2 linked regions of the Mytilus edulis genome follow. The protein of the gene in region 1 purifies or fractionates together with the protein of each later gene. This does not show direct contact. Links are inferred from orthologs where the notes say so. Each region holds a gene or a part of one and is shown in the gene's direction. Other genes may lie near its edges.

Region 1 (8,952 bases):
ATATTTACTTGGTTAGAAGAATCAAGAAAGCCGGTATTTCACAACGATTTCACCATCGAACTAGTGCTGACAGGACATTTTCCTAAACCAAAAGTCGTAGTCCAAACAAAACATTCGGGTCTCACTAATTAGTGACAAAAAGCGTCAAGAAGCGACAAGAAGCGTCAAGAAGAATAATTTTAGCGACAAGAAGCTATTTAGCTACAAGAAAACATTTTTTTTATTAAATATAAAGAAAATATGCATTTAGTCTTTTTTGATATACGGGCAGAAATAAATTGATTTTTTTTATTATTATATTGATAGATGAAGAAATTAAATATTTGTAAGAGCAAAGGAAATGCACACGCTATAAAATGAAAATATTTATAAACAAAGATTTTTCACTTTCCTTTGAAGGATTTATTGAAACAAAAACATGAAATATTGTTTCCTTTCTAACTGTTCAATTCATTTTTCCTGATAGGACCAACGTTAGCTAGTGTGGCTTCACCCTAAGGTAATACACAATGTAGAACATCAAATGAGATTAACGAGGCGCGACGCGTGTCCCTTGTTTTATTGCCAGTGGCATAACTTGCCTTCTGTTTATACCGAGGCAGTGGGTCAGGGGGGCACAGCATCCCTGAAGCTATAAAGGCTTTTACAATTTGAACAAGAAAAAATCGTTAAAAATAGTTGCTGTTCAATGTTATTTTATCATAATAATGGTAATTATATGCTTTACTATATCTATACTCAAAGCTATAAAAATAACAAAATACGTGAAGGTATCACATTTAATAGACAACCAATGAAAAGTCAGTTTCCTGACTTGCTAACAGTTGCAGAAAGCAAGAACATATATATATTGATATACTGTTCCCAGCAGAAAGCCATCTCAAATGTTTAATGGCTCCCAATATATTTCCAAGCCATAGGTAACACTCTAATATAGTTGGCTGTACCTCACACGTCATATCACAATAAATCATGACCTTGCTTGGTGGATAAAACAAAATGTTCATTACAGAAGAAAAAAACGCAAATATTAAGGTTTATTTGTAATAAGTTTTGTGATTATCATTTATTTGGTTGTAGGTCACGAATCAACGAATTATAGATAATCACCACAAAATGACAGCTGGATTCAATTCAATTCTTTATTAACCAAATGTTTTACAACATATAGGTACATGCATAATCAATATATACTAAATATATATTACAATTTTTTATTTAAATATACGATCATGACAAAACAGACAGAAGTTTTAAATACACAAAATATAAATACATATAAATGTAATTCCAAATAGCAAATATTTGTAACAAATGAATTACAAAACATTTTACTAAAAACAGTCATTTCTGAGCTTCAGTGCTCTAAATATATATTTTCCCAAGTTGCACAAGTCTTTTACATTAGTAGTGCTTGATAATTGTAACAGTTTATAAACAGATGGCTTACGCCAATAATATGGTTTAATCAAACATTCACGCAGATTAGAATATAATGGACATGATAAAATAAAATGCATTTCATCCTCAATATCATCAATACACAATGTACAGGTTCTAAGGTTTCTATTAACATTGGAATACCTTCCCTTCTCTATAGCTAGATTATGTGATGACAAAATTAATCTAAATTTAACAATACACTTTTTATAAATATCGGGTATGGGTTTACACAAATATGACTGCAAAGAAAAATTGGATATCATATATCTATACAAAAAACATTATCTTTATAATAATACATGTGCACAAAATTAGGAACATTGTCAAAACAGTAATTGGTTGCCTTCAAATAAATTTTAATGATCTTGTGTGCTAGAAAATTTATTGGCTGATCTTGGTTATTCTTAGTTTGATATGCACAAAGCTTTCTAGACTCTTGGCATTATACTGCTCAATTCATAGCGTAAAGAATCAATGTATAAACACTAGACTATGGTTAAAGACTGTGTTGACAACTATGTATCTTACTGAGTTTTTGTGTTGTCAGGTTTCTGTATTATTGACTTTTATCTCACAAGTCACATCTACTTTTAATCATCAAAATATTCATATAAAAATTCATGCTGTTTAAATTTATATTGTAAAATAAAAACATACCAGTTTGTGATGTCAATTCTGTCTTTAGTGACCATTTCGACATTAATGATGAACTAGCTGATAACATAGACTTGTTGTCTCCCATTAGGAGTTTGTTTCTGTCAGTTGACGACATTTTCTATTTCTGAAACAGAAAATTTACAAATAATATTCTATTAATATTTGTTTTGTTTTTTAATATAACTGTTACCCGAGAAACATGTATTGCCTGGTTTACAGTTATAGCAAAAAAAACTACTGCTCCTGTCGTGAAAGACATGTCATGGTTTTCATATTGATGTTGTATCATAAATAAATAAATGGAGAATGTGTCAATGGGACATAGATTTACCCTCGCTGATGAATAATGATAAGGAGATTTTGAAGAATAAACAGTAAAATATATATTAACCAATTTAACACTAGCCTAAATTAATGGTAGCAGAAATTGACCTATTAATGCGTAATGCTTATAGGCATACATATACCTATAGATCCTCCTGTTCTTGTACAAATATTATATATAATTGACAACAAATTTGAGGAAAAATTGTTGTCTTATGTGCTAATTGACGTTTATCCATAACTTATTTCTTGCATAAATATATTCTTTTAAATTGAAAATAGTCATTCTTCAAGTCTGATTTTACACTTTTCAATAATCAACAAACAAGCAAAAGATACTCACCCACTACAATATCAACTGTAAATATATAGCTAACAACTAGTAATAGCTAATATGTGCTTCAGTAGTACAATTTTAAACTAAAACGTCATAACAGCTACTCCTATAAAGAGCATATCATATTTACTTGGTTAGAAGAATCAAGAAAGCCGGTATTTCACAACGATTTCACCATCGAACTAGTGCTGACAGGACATTTCAAAAAACATTTTGATGAACTTTCTAAAGTAGCATCAAACTCTTGTTTGACAATACCACAAAGTCTCTGTTTAATAACAATAATATGATCTTTACATAAAGAATTTTGTGAATACCACAAATCATTTAAACTAAGATGGAACAATTCCTTTCGTATATTACAAACCCAGTTATTTTTGTCATTTGGATTCTTTAAACACATATCATATAAATAATTGTAACAACCATGTAATATACAATTGTTATTATTCAATACTTTTATCCAATATTTAAATATATTGATTGAACAAACGAATTTCAGGATAAACTAGGAGAAAAACATATGCTACATGTAAAGTGTAACACGGCACTTGTTTTAGTGGTGTATTCCTTCGAAGGTCTTGAAATTACTTATTGAATGATTTTTAACTTTTTTTTTCATTCACCATGAACATGACAACCGGCGAATAACTAACATTTACTTTATTCTGAAGTCTTCATTATAAATGAACAGTATTTGGTTGATTTTTTTTTATATATAAACTGACATTATGTATTAACTAACAAACATATTTCTCTGGAATTAGTGATTCCTTTAAATATTTTAAATTCCCTGCTTGTGAAAACGTACTATGAATTTAAAATAGCGAGAATAAAACTTGAGAAACACAACATATAAATTATTTTGTTGTGCACTATAATATATAAATGCATATTTTGTTGGCACTGGCTACGGTTACATGGAAATGTAACAATAATAAAAATATTATTGTTACATTGGAGCCTCGGACTTAATGCCGGAATGCATGGTTGGGTAAGGACCTGTTTAATTACGAATTTAACAATAATTATTGAGGCTACGGTTAATACATTGCGTTATTGTTACATGAAAAAAGCAATGTACGTTACAGTTAGCAAACTTTGCTTTTGATTATCAATTTGCGTCAAGTTATAAAGCTGTATGAAATGTCTGTCTTGATATTGTTTCAGTTTGGTTTAAAACGCATCCCAAGTTTTATTTTTTTCACCATAAACAAAATTGGCCCAAAGTATAATGACAGTAATAAGAGGTGTGCAGTTAAATACTTTAAAAAAGTGAAACCATTGAACTATATTTTTCGCCTTTGACAGTTACACTCCTAATCTTGAGTAGTATCTTTAAGAACATCAAAACCATAAATACGTAGTAAAACTATTCAAGTTGTACACCATTTGTTGAATAATAATATTTGATTATTTATTAGTATTAAATTACAAGACTAGTATTGTTTAGTACATATGAAAGAATGAAGCAATACAACTATAGAAGATTTAAGTTTAATCAATCTAGCGTACATTGCTGTTTTTCATGTAACAATAATGTAATTTAACCGTAGCCTCAGTAATTATTGTTACATTTGTAATTAATCGGTTCCTCGCCCAACTTTGCATTCCGGCAATTAGTCTCCAATGTAACAATAACATTTTTATTATTGTTACATTTCCATGTAACCGTAGCCAGTGCCTATTTTGTTTTGTTTAGTACCAAAGTCAATGAACATAGTCGTAGGGGAACATGTCAACGGTTATAAATGAGGCTTTCAATGCTTTAGAATGGGATTATCAAATATATCATGTAAATAAATGTTTCAATTTTTTTCTATCAAATATGTTAGCTTTCTTGTTGCTAAAATTGTTTTCTTTTGCATATTCTTTTTTAATATTTATTTGGAATAAGTAATTTTGATTAAAAAAGATATTTTTTCGCTTACTAGTTTCTTATCGGTTCTTGTCGCTAAAATAATTCTCTTTGTCGCTTCTTGTCGCTAGAATTCTGATTGTCGCTGATTAGTGAGACCGAAACATTCGGGTCACTGCGCATCTCGCATATGTTGGATGGAACCAGCCGAGAAGTTCCGAGTGAAGAAAACAAATCATTATTTATATTTTGATTCTCGAATATATCATGTTTTAGAATACAATCGTATACTTGTAACAAGTTTATGATTTAAAAAAAAAAGTTAAATATTGAAAATAAAAAAGAACGATCAATTTATGATATCATTGTTGTCAAAGAATTTCGTTGATTACGGGTTTGCTGTTTATGTTCTAGAATGTCCTTTTAATTTCCCGCCATTTCTCATCACATTGTTCCTGTCCCTCAGTATTTTGTTGATTGCTACTATAGAAAAAATGCCTGGTATTGGTGATGATTGGATAAATAACCCTTTGGCTATAATTCAAAACATTATTGGTAAATCAATTATTCGCTGATATTGACAACGTATTTTTTTTTATATAAATTATACCTGATGAGTTTTGATTCATATAATTTACAGCAAGGACGTATAACTAATATATACGTCCTTGTTTACAGGTATACATGTGCTTTATTTGTATTAACTGGACACATAACTCCTAAAGGCTCACTTTATAATTAAAAGCTTCTTTTGTTGGAAATGTTGTAATGATGTGCAGTTGTCTTGTATGTGCTCCTTATAGGGTAATATACTGTCTTCGCATTTATAAAGAGGGTAGGAAATAATGCCCTTAATTTATCATCAAGCTGCAAACTGTTATTTTCAGCTACCGTTACTGTCAAATTGGTTAAAAATGTCATGTGATTTGTTGAAATATCCTAATTGTGATAAGTCAGAGGTCTCAAATAATTATCTTTACTGTTATTATTTAGAAAATTAAATGTAATTCGTCAAAATCCGTCAATTTTTTTTATCACTTGGCGTCTGTCGTCATTAACTTTTACTAAAATCTTTTCCTCTAAAACTACAAATTTAACCAAACTTTGCCACAATCATCCTTGGGATATATAGTTTAACAAATGTGTGTGGTGACCTGGCCAACCAACCAAGATAGCCGCCATGGCTAAAAATAAAACATAGGGGGTAAAATATAGATTTGGCTTATAACTCTGAAACCAAAGCATTTAGAGCAAATCTGACATGGATCAAATTGTTTATAAAGTCCAGATCTATCTGCTCTGAAATTTTAAGACGAATCAGACAACTGGTTGTTGGGTTGCTGCCACTGAATTGGCAATTTTAAGGAAATTTTGCTGTTTTTGGTTATCTTGAATATTATTACAGATAGAGATAAACTGTAAACAGCAATAATGTTCAGCAAAGTAAGATCTACAAATAAGTCAGCTTGACCAAAATGGTCAGTTGACCCCTTGAAGAGTTATTGCCCTTTACAGTCAATTTTCATAAATTTTGTAAATTTTTGTAAATTTTAACAAAATAATTTCCTCTGTAACTAATCATGCTAATGGGTCATGTTCATTATAGATAGAGATAATTGTAAGTAGCAAGAATGTTCAGTAAAGTAAGATCTACAAACACATCACCATTACCAAAACACAATTTTGTCATTAATCCATCTGTGTCTTTAGTTTAATTAATATGCACATAGACCAAGGTGAGCAACACAGGCTCTTAAGAGCCTCTAGTTTAATGTTTAAAAGAGAGAGTACATTTTACCATTATGCATAAAAATTTCTGGTAACATCATCGGCAAGGGAAAAAAATATAAATTAAAAAAAAATAAAAATTTAAGATTTTTTTCTGCAAATACATGTATATAGAAGTCAGACAATAATAAAGAATTTTACAAACTTGGTCTTGTGGTTGAACATGATGACTGGGTGTATTTGTGTCTGCCTAACACAATTAAGATGTGTCAATAAGACATTTCTCTATAGATCTATGTCACATGTTTAAAATACAAGTTAACAATTATTGGTCAAAGTTCAGCCTTCAACACAGAGCTTGGGTTCACAAACTTATAGGTCAAAATAAAGCCTTCAATACAGAGATCATACCATGCATGTGTATATATGTACAGAAAGTTTTGTGGTTTTTTTTCTCAACATAGAAAATATTTTGGATGTAGACTTCTTTATGTTAGTACAAATGTAGTAAAAAAATCAATTGAGTTGGGTTGTTTGATCATAAAGTACATCACATCTTTCCTTTCATTTATTGAAAACATTCCTGAATCATAATAGTATATGTCTAAAATTAAAGGGTTAAAACAACATAATTATATACATGATATATCTTTTATTTACTTCTACAATGTATTAACATGTACATGTAACAATTTTAGTGTTTCCTGCAGCTTTTAAAAAGGGCAGGGTAATTGTTAGCTCAGAGGGCACATTGAGCGCGATGGACAACAATTTTAGGGCACTTACTTAACATAAACAGGCAATTTCTATAAAATGGATTCATTTAAAACATACTTGTTTAATACTATAAAAAGGACATATACATCTGTAATCAATCATTAAAACAAATTGTTAAACAAGAAAAAGTGTGTAAAACATATATATATGAAATATTTAAAACAATAAACACAATTAAAAACAAAATCAGTTCTTTAAAAACAAGAAAGCACTATGTCATATACATGTATATAAAAATATTGCTTTGGTCATATCAATTGTCATTGACAAATCCTCCTTGTTTTCCCTAAAAACAGGTTGACACATTCCCTGATATCCAGGGTCATTTTTAGTAACCAAAATTTATTAAATTACAAAAAAAAAATAACTTTACAAATTAACCCCTTCCCCTCTACACCCTTTTCCAAATTAAATTAATATAGATACAACAAGTTTTACTACTTTCATGGCACTACCATATATCAGCTGTTTATTTTAAATGTCTATAAATAGCCAGACATAGTTGTCTGTTACTTAGGTGTTTTCCCAAGTATTTTTCCCGCCTAAAATGATCATGTGACATGTTTGTAAACCAAAAGAAAACATTTGATCAAGGAATTCATTTATTTTCTGGATTATTCTGCTTTTAATAATTTAGTTCGGATTTTTATTCATTTCATTTAAGGTACAGTCAAGCATTTGTATTTAAAAAATAGTTTGCAAAGAATTTTTACTTTTCAATTTGACAAATGTCTCATGATCGCCGTTCATTGGCTTGTTCAACCATGCAAACAATGTAAATTATGTAAATTAGAAATCTATCAGCTGTAAAAAAAAATTATCTAAGCATCACATCGATGTTTTTTCATTAATCTTCTAGGCAAAACGATGTTTCTGGGACTTGGCGGATACAATCAGGACCCGTGATTAGTATCTGTATTCACTATTCAATCTATTGCAGTTTGCTAATCAGCTGATTATGAAATCGATTACAAAATGGCGACCTAGTGAACTTTTGTTTTGAAGGGAAATAACTCGAGCGGTATTCATAATATATGTCTTTCAGTACCGGTTGTTAATTACGACGATAAAGGCATGGCGTCAGGAATTTCGACAAAATTAGGGCAGGGCGCCAATTTTTTTTCCCAAAAAGGGCAGGGCGTCGAGAAATCGCGGCAGGGCGCCATTACACGCCAAAACCACCTGTAGGAAACACTAAATTTATCCTATGAAGACTGGATTTTGTATACTTTCAGAAAACAAACAAAATGATAATGGTGTTAAAGAATACTTCAGCAGTAAGATGCAAACCAACTATGCCCTGAGTTGGGTAAGTAAATGAGGGGTTTAGTCTTTTTCCCTAAGTTGGGATAAGTTAAAAGTTTCTTATGTCGTTCGTTGGAGGTAAGTTAATGTGTTTAAATCTATTGACCTGATTGGGGTACATGCAAGTTTGATGTAAAATATTTTTGCCTGTGGCACATTAGTTTAAGGAGGTCAATCGTTTGACTTCAGTTTGTTTAGTTAAGGAGGTTGAAATTTCAAACATAATATTAGAATTGTGCATGCACACATTTATTTTTTATAAATAAGTATATAGCATGAAAAGTTCAGTAGGTGTGAAGTCATGATGTATATGTATTTATAGTAGAAAGGGTTATTGTATTTGAAAAGTACAGCTCCAGATAATCTGATTCTCAATAATATTTTTCATTGTAAATGACTAAATTATCCAATTGGTGATAAGCTATTTCAAATTAAGTGAGGGAAAAGCCATTACATCTTGTATTTGTCCCATTGCTAAAATAGGAATATTTTCAAATCCTTACTTTACTTTAAAGTGATAGTA
Region 2 (8,485 bases), on another chromosome or scaffold:
ATAAAAAAAAAAATGTCGCTGAGATATTCTACATTTTTACAATTATAGTTCACACTCCTAAACGTTAAGAGTTTTCAATTTGTCATTCTCAACTTGAAGGTCTATATTCATTCTATAACATAGCTAGCAAAAAGAAAATTAATGAGAGTGTTACTTAAAGCTGCACATACAGCGTATCAGTCTAAGAACATAACCGTAATTCTAATTTCAACCAATCGGCGGCAGAACTGTTCTCTGACTAAATGAACCATAGCTCGATGTTACGTGGCGCTGACTCCTGTATGTGCTTCGTTTTCTGTCACAACTGCTACCCTGTGAATCTGTATCTTGATATGAGTTATCAAGACTTATTCCAGAATCTTCGTCGTCCTTTTCATCGTCGCTCGCATCTCCATTTTCTTCTCTTATATCATCAAAATCAAAAGTTCTGCCCATTACAGATTTTTCCCTGACACACATTAGATTTTCCTTATATCTTTGGTGCGCATTTTCAACACGTTCCAATTTCTTTTCTAGCTTCATTTTCTTCTCGTCTTCGCTTTGTTTTAATCTTTCCAAGACTTCAGCCCTTCGATTGTCATAAGTTTTTGCTATGTCCGGAATCATGGCAGATTTATCTGGAACCACTTTGTTTATTTTTTGTTCGTATTTTAGTTTGGTTTCTTCTTGTTTCTTTTGAATCCGTTCCAGAACTTCTGCCCTCTTCTCGTCATATTTTTTGGTAACAGAGGTAGAAGAGTTAGGTTTTTCCCTATTCATTGCGTTATCTAATTTCATTTTTCTCTCCTGTTCCTTTTTTTGAATTCTATCTAGCACTTCAGAACGTTTTGTTTCATATTTTTTCACTGTGTCCGATACAAGATCAGGTTTGGTTGTTGACTGTGTCCGTCTTAATTTCTCTTGAGCACGAGCTTTCTTCTCCGCCTCTATTTCGTCTCGCTTTGCCAGATTTTGATGACGTTTTTCTTCAAATTGTTTACACTGTTCAACTGAAATTATTAAAATGAAGTAAATAAGTATATTAATAATTTTCGTTTAAAGAGGTTTTCTCCATTAGTTAAAACTTAACTTCTTGGGGTTCTCAAAGTAACATTTTAAACCCGCTGCATTTGTTTGCACCTGTCCTAAGTCATGAATCTGATGTTCAGTAGTTGTCGTTTGTTGATGTGGTTCATAGTAAGTGTTTCTGGTATCTCCCTCACGCAAAGCTCTGATTCCTTTCATGGATTTGATTATACTTTTTGGACCTTTTGGATTATAGCTCTTCATCTTTTATATAGGCTTTGGATTTCAAATATTTTGGCCATCAGCATCACTGAAGAGACATTTATTGTCGAAATGCGCATCTGTACTGGTGCAGGAAAATTGGTACCGTTTATGTTATTTCTCGTTTCTCGTCTTTAATATATATTAGAACATTGGTATTCCCCGTTGAAATGGTTTTACACATGTCATTTTTGGAACCCTTCATAGCTTGCAGTTTGGTGTGAGCCACGGCTCCGGTGTTAAAGACCGTACTTTGACCTATAATGGTTTACTTTTAAAAATGTTGTAAGCAAGAGGTGCCACTTCCAACGGGAATAAGAAATAAGTACTGACAAGTATGCTTCATAGATATAGTGCATGTCATTAATATGTTTTATGTACTGTTCACTTGTGTATTGTTTTTGAAGATTTCTAACTTAATATACCTAAGTCCTCACTCGTAAAGAAGGTCGCGAAGTTTTTTACGGGTATATTCATGATTGAATTATTTGATATAATAGTTTATTGTGTTTATTTGTTGGTTTTATCTATGAAAGAGCTCCTTTCCTTGATTGCAACATTGAAATGTTTATTTTTGCCTATAATCAAAACAAAAACAATACCTTTGGATTCCAAATCTTTCTGTCGAGCGATTTCTGCTATTATACGCCTTTCATCTCTGTCAAACTTCACTGTAGCTGGATAGAAGAAAGGAAGTTTGTCATCAAAGTAGAAATATGTACATATAGCAATAGCACACTGGAATTGAGAAATAAATGCTGAAATATATATCTAACACAAACAAACAAAACACACAAACGATCACAAATAAATTCAAAAGGTTCCAAAGGTGCAATAAAAACACAAGTTAAAGATAACAGACAATTCCGTGCTCAATAGGAACAAACGGAATGGAAAAAAATGTATCCACAAATAACAGATGTGCAGAAAACTGAAGAAATAAGCAAAACACGAATCCCACAAAGAAACTCGATAAACTCAGATGCTCTGGAATGGTCCTGATGACAACATCCCTATAAGTTATTGACAAAACAAAACAACTGTATGTGTACTACAGTTCTTCCACTTTCATTACATTACAGTGAGGCATTAAATACGGGAAAAAAGTTCCACATGAGAAGACATTGTCATCGGTTTTAATTGTATTCTTTGGTTAAATGGTGATAACATGAATAACACAGATGCAGAGTATTATAAAACAATAAACTATATCGAGCAAAGAAGTCATAAGTTGCCCGGCAGAGACAATGCAAATATCTAGACAACCATTGATCACGTTAAGATATTTGTGAGATTCTAGTTTTCAAGAATTAATGACGAATATTTATCCCTTAAAAAGCAAACATGGAATATATATATCAATGTCATTTCCAGTAAATATTGTTCTATTAAAGCATACCTACATCGTTTACTGTTCAGATCATCATATAAAATGTCGGACATGAGCTTTCGTTCATCAAGGCTGTACTGTTGTTGGAGTTTGTGTTGTTTCTTTGGTGTTTCACTGGCTGGAACATAAAAGGCTGGCATGTTTCTTCTTTACGGAACTAACAAGAATTCATGAAACAAATTGTCTGGTGTCTTTTTAAAAATCTAAAATATACATACAAACGTCATTAAAACGACTAGGTTCCTTTATTTTATTTTGTGACTGGGAAAAATAAGCGCTGAATTTTTAACTAAATATGCTGCATATTTCTCAATCATGTAAGTTATTATTTAGTGGACTTGGTTTGGATAATATGCCGCGGCACAAAAGGAGGAACTTTGCTCTCCCGGTTTTCAAAGAGTAGTTGAAACGATGCATAATTATAGATAAAAGAAAAAGTTAAAAAATAGATAAAAGAAAAAGTTAAAAAGAAAAGTTAATATACAAAATTTACTATTAAAGTTATGCTTACTTTGAAAGGTTTTCCTATTCTGTCCAGTTCAGTGACGAGTTAGTGTGTCATTATAATAATCATCAGTTTTATTGTATTTAGTAACAATACTATTGAGAGTTATGGTTGTTGTGGCTTTTATTGGATCCCACTGAAAAATTAATGAATCTCTCAGTCACTGATGGAACCGTATTAAATATTCATGAAAGATAAGGAATACATGTATATTATGATCATATTGCAATAGTACAAGCTTCATAGTTCTCTGGGTGTCACGATTTAATTATATTTACAATGTTATTGAAGTGTTATTGGTTTACACATGTACTACTGGTTTTATTCTTACATTAAGGCTATTTAGAAATTTGTATAATCGGCTTTTAGCTAGTATGGAAGATATTAATCTGAGATTTGAAGTTCAGATCTATCTCCACTCGTTTGCTCGTAAAGCTTTACTAAATATATACTTCTAGAAATGTCCAAGCATGTTAACCATTTGTTAATTTATACTATACGTAAACAATTTAATACTGTATTAATACGAGCAGTGGAAATCTATGGTTGAAAACGGGATATAATACATCAACCATTCAAAAACTTTTAAAACGGTATCATACAAGTACACACTAAAGAGGTGTCGAAGAAAACACCCCCATTAAATGATAGACCGCGTATGTAAACCAGATGAAATCAAATAAATTGACGCCTTCATTAATATCAACAGAACTCATTTGTATCATATGTCTCTGATAAGAATAAGCATGAGATCTTTGTATGTATCTTTTACAACCCAATTACAACTTTTTTTATATATTTGGTGGTTCCGAATATACAAATATTGATGAGAGCTAGCCTATGGGTTATTATCAACCACCACAGTTCTGACTGGCAACATTTTTTTAGTTGAAAAATGAAAATGAAAAGAAGACACTCACTTCTAGACTATAGAGAAGCTTCTTTTTTTGCCAGTCACTTTCAGAAGTTTATTCCCCCCAATGGCACCGAAAAGAAAGCCAAGTCACACTTTTGACCGGCTAGCTGCTTTAACAAAAAAAGTTATCAAATCTGATCAGTGTTCCAGAGACCACACTTTGATATCATTTGTCTTTTACACAAATTGATCTGATTTTAAAAACCAAATGCCTTTTACATTTTACATGGTAATCGAAATATTATAATGGAACATTTAAAATTATAAAAGGATGATTAATATTCCGGCATATTTAGTTCACTCGCATTTCTTCCCACTGGGGATATAGACGATGGTCTGGATATCTTGTGGTGTCTAACTTATTTAACTTTATTTGGGCAAATTTCGTTATCTTTAGAAATAATGCTAATTTTGTAAAATTCTAATGAGAATGCGTTTTATAGTATTTTTTTTCTGTAATTAAACCAGGATATGTATAGTGAGATATCCTTGAATTAGATAACTTCTTTATCATCTGTTTTTTTTTCTTTCTGTAATTTATTCATATTCAAACTTGTATTATCTAACAGGATTTGCCGTATATATTGTCTTTTTTTTTTTATCCCGTCGACAGATGTCTTTTATATATATACTTTGCGCCCCATTATAGATTATTTATTTATTTTTCAGCCAAATTTTACTCTTTTTCATATTTTTGCCATTTACTCCTATTCTTTAAAAACCCTCTTTACTTTAAACACCATCAAACCGGCCCTCATTTCGCTAACATACAAATCCGTAATTGTCACAAGTCTTTTTCCGATATGACCCGGATTTATTTTAAAGGCCAAATTACGCGGGAAATATAATCAAAAGTGAAAGTAGAACTCAACAGTTGAATAATACCTTGCAACCTGTTTGAAATAGCGTAATATGGTATATCGATAGTTTCATGGTATAATGCTTCAAGGGCAGACAATATTTATGATCTAAAATATGTTTTCCTTGAAATTTTTACACGAATTAGAAATTTGTATTTGTTTAGAGAAATATAACCACAGGTCTTTCTTTTCTATAGCTGCGAATGAAGTCCATCCAGAGAAACATATAATACTTATATGTGTCTGATCAAGGATTTGTATAGTACAAATCCTTGGTCTAATTGATCTTAGGATATTAATTATATTTTATAAATTTACCGTCCACAGAGCTTGGTTAATATTACTAGTCCAAATAATTATGATGTCCGGGACGCCTTCCTACGACGTCGAATGAAATAAACAACTACACTGGTAAACATTGATTAACTAATAGAAATCTGCCATTCCTGTGACATCACTTTCATCTTCTGATTAACAAGTGAAATTTGAAGCTGATATATTTGTACCTTCATATAATACATGGTACCAATTCAAATTTTTGAGAAATTGCACTGTTGCAATTTCATTTTCCAATGGTGCCTATCCCCCCTGAAATTCTTATGCATTGAATAAACTACAAAATGATGTATGACACAATTAAATCTGTTGTCATAATCATTCCTAGCAGGTCAATTGTTAATTATTCCAAGAATCATGAAAACAAAAGAATGATGAAGAAATAAATAAATGGCTCTTCATCAGTACATACCTGTCAACTGACCCGTATTCTGCGGGTGTGACCCGAGATTTTCACAATTCTGAGGGATCACCCAGGACACCTGCCAGGTCATTGAATAACCCGAGAATTCCAAAAATGACCCGTTTTCACCCGTATTTCGTAGCCTTGAGATTGATCTTCTAAGTAATATATTCCTTTGAAATACCGGCAAATTCGTAATTCTTCCATGAACAGGAAGTTAGCTGTGTAAACTGTCAAATTAAGTTGCCCATTAAGTGCATGGCTTCACTTGACAGCGTTGGTGTCAAACACACTGTTAATTAATACCAATTACCTTAGCTTTAGGTCGTAAATAAATTGCACAGTTGTTTTACAAACATATTTCAACTAGATTTACTTCCCCTTTTTTGTCACCATTCAAAATTATTCCTCATATTTACGTTTTTGGGGTGAAAAAGATTAAATCTTAAAAAAATAAAATTCAAATACATATTGCAATATAACTTTTCATTATTTTTATATCTTTATACAATTTAAAAAAAAAAGTTGAAAATTATTTTGTTCATCTATACTTCTTTTAACTATATTACTATATTTTATTATAAGTCTAATTTCAATTGAAAATTTAATGATTTGTTTTATGGCTGATAGCTGGTTTCAAACATAGAATTACTTATGGAAAATATATCCTAGTATTTGGTGTGTGAGGTTGAATTACATCACCACTATGAGTAAAGAACATAAGACTGTGTTACACAAATTTATAAAAATCTTTAAAAAGTGCAATGAAACAATAATTAATAAGATTTAAAATTACTTAACCAAGTGAACATGCATTGATGTTTTGGTAACTTTGATTTAAATTATAAGAAAAATGTACAATAAATACTGAAATTCAGCTCGAAAAAGTTTGTACGCGTTATGACCTGAGATTTGATTCTTCAATGCAGGTCATGACCTGCATTTTCATCGTCACAAGTTGACAGGTATGTCAGTATAACATAAGAAACAAAGAAGAGATATGATAATGAATTTATAAAATAAAAATATGCATGCAAGTAAGTAAGCAGTTACTCTTAAAAAGAAGTTTACACACTAAAAACCTTTTTAAGATTTTCAAAAGTTAGAGGGTATGTACTCTAAGGATTCATTAAAGTGTGTATTGAACATAGAGAAGAAAAGAACTTGTTTATTATTAAATACAATTTATAAAAAAAATTACCTGATCAGAAATTGTCCATTATGATAGCTCCTTTAGTAGGTATAGTCTTCTTTATTTCATTATTAAGCATTTTTGGACTTAATGATTAAAATGAAAAATCACACAAATGCATCTCTTTTCAAATAGTGTTTTTCTTATGTTTCCATTTCTTTTTTTGTAAAATTGATTTACTATCTGCTAAGAATTGAATTGTAATTTAAGTGACCTTTCCTACTGTGAGGTGAAGTCTGTCAGCACTTAAATAATTATGACAGAATAGTCCAAGCCATCTGACAACATGCACTAATTAGTCATAATTTGCATTGTCATAGGTCATGCATTAATAATGATCTAGGTCAGTGATTGTTCCATACTTCATACTTAAATTCAAATTCTTTATTAACTTTGAGCCTTACAGCTCATCAGTATAATCAAGTACCGGGTACATGTACAGTTTATACATATGGCATATTACAAACAATATAAACAATATGCATAATAAACAATAGGTGACGTCAGAAGTTTCATCAATACAAAATATCTTTTATTACAATAAACTGTTTCTTAATTTAAAAGAGAAATGTATATACTTTCCTAAATTACAAAGCTGTTTTGTGTTTTCACCTGACAATAATTCTATTAATTTAAAAGTTGATGGCCTAGACCAGTAATATTTTTTTACATATTTTTTTCGCAAATCAGTATATCTACTACATTGAAGGATGAAATGAAATTCATCCTCTATTACTCCTAAATCACAAAAAATACAATTTGTTTTATTTCTATTAGCAAATGATTAGTACCAACATAACGACCAGTTTCAATACAAAGGTTATGTGAAGACAAATGAATCCTTGTCACACTTCATAGATACCCTTAAATAATAGATAACCTTTAAATGTCTTTTTTGTGTTTTATGGGGATGCTGTCTCCAGAAAAAAAAATGCTGTCTCGAGACATATACTACTCTTTATAACTTTATTCATCTGCAAAAGTATATTAAAGATGAAAAGCTATAATGGTCATGTATACTACATAAAAATCCAAAGAGATGCAATGGTTGTCTATTTATTTTTTGGCATTTTAAAACAGAAAGATGTAGCCAGTGGGTAAACTAGCTAACTTTATAATTCTTGGAAAAATATATATAACTGTCAATATAAATATTTTCAAAAAAAAGATTGATGGGGTCAGAATCCTATTATATGTGTGTTTGTCATTTGAATTATTATTTCTGAATGTATAAATGTACAATGATGTACATGTACAAGAAAGAATAATGTGTCTTTATTAAATTAACTATTTTGTAAGGTATAAAGTACAATCAGGATGAGCCAAACAAGTACCTCCAGTGCTGGTAGCTGGCAGGGAGGGAGAGGATGGAGAGGTCGAGGCTGGTGGAGAGGTCGTGGTGGAGGTCGTTACTACAGTCACCATGGAAACAGAGGGAGAGGCAATTCACGTAAATTTATTTAACATTAAATTGCATAATTATATGGTGAATATCAAATTTATTATTAGTATCGACTTATGCTAAAATATACATTTGTACTAATACTAATCATATGAATTATATAGTTGAATGCTTACTATCCAGCAAAAAATATAAGTTGTATGGCCTAATCATGC

The links. The genes of interacting proteins can lie anywhere in the genome.
Region 2: the proteins of mini-chromosome maintenance complex-binding protein-like (region 1) and DNA helicase MCM8-like purify together in Homo sapiens (co-immunoprecipitation; 3 studies listed by BioGRID and IntAct, with this or other methods). This does not show direct contact. The link is inferred for Mytilus edulis from reciprocal best matches to the Homo sapiens genes MCMBP and MCM8.

The regions. Positions count from the first base shown.
Region 1 is NC_092347.1:70,576,038-70,584,989, reverse strand, and holds the start of mini-chromosome maintenance complex-binding protein-like, read left to right. Parts: upstream 1-5,022; 5' UTR 5,023-5,113; coding exon 5,114-5,174; intron 5,175-8,359; coding exon 8,360-8,433; intron 8,434-8,952. UniProt on the Homo sapiens protein: Associated component of the MCM complex that acts as a regulator of DNA replication.
Region 2 is NC_092350.1:18,910,516-18,919,000, forward strand, and holds the start of DNA helicase MCM8-like, read left to right. Parts: upstream 1-4,885; 5' UTR 4,886-4,992; intron 4,993-8,167; 5' UTR 8,168-8,185; coding exon 8,186-8,318; intron 8,319-8,485. Other genes in the region: uncharacterized protein, read right to left, coding at 208-989, 1,869-1,943, 2,670-2,796. UniProt on the Homo sapiens protein: Component of the MCM8-MCM9 complex, a complex involved in the repair of double-stranded DNA breaks (DBSs) and DNA interstrand cross-links (ICLs) by homologous recombination (HR).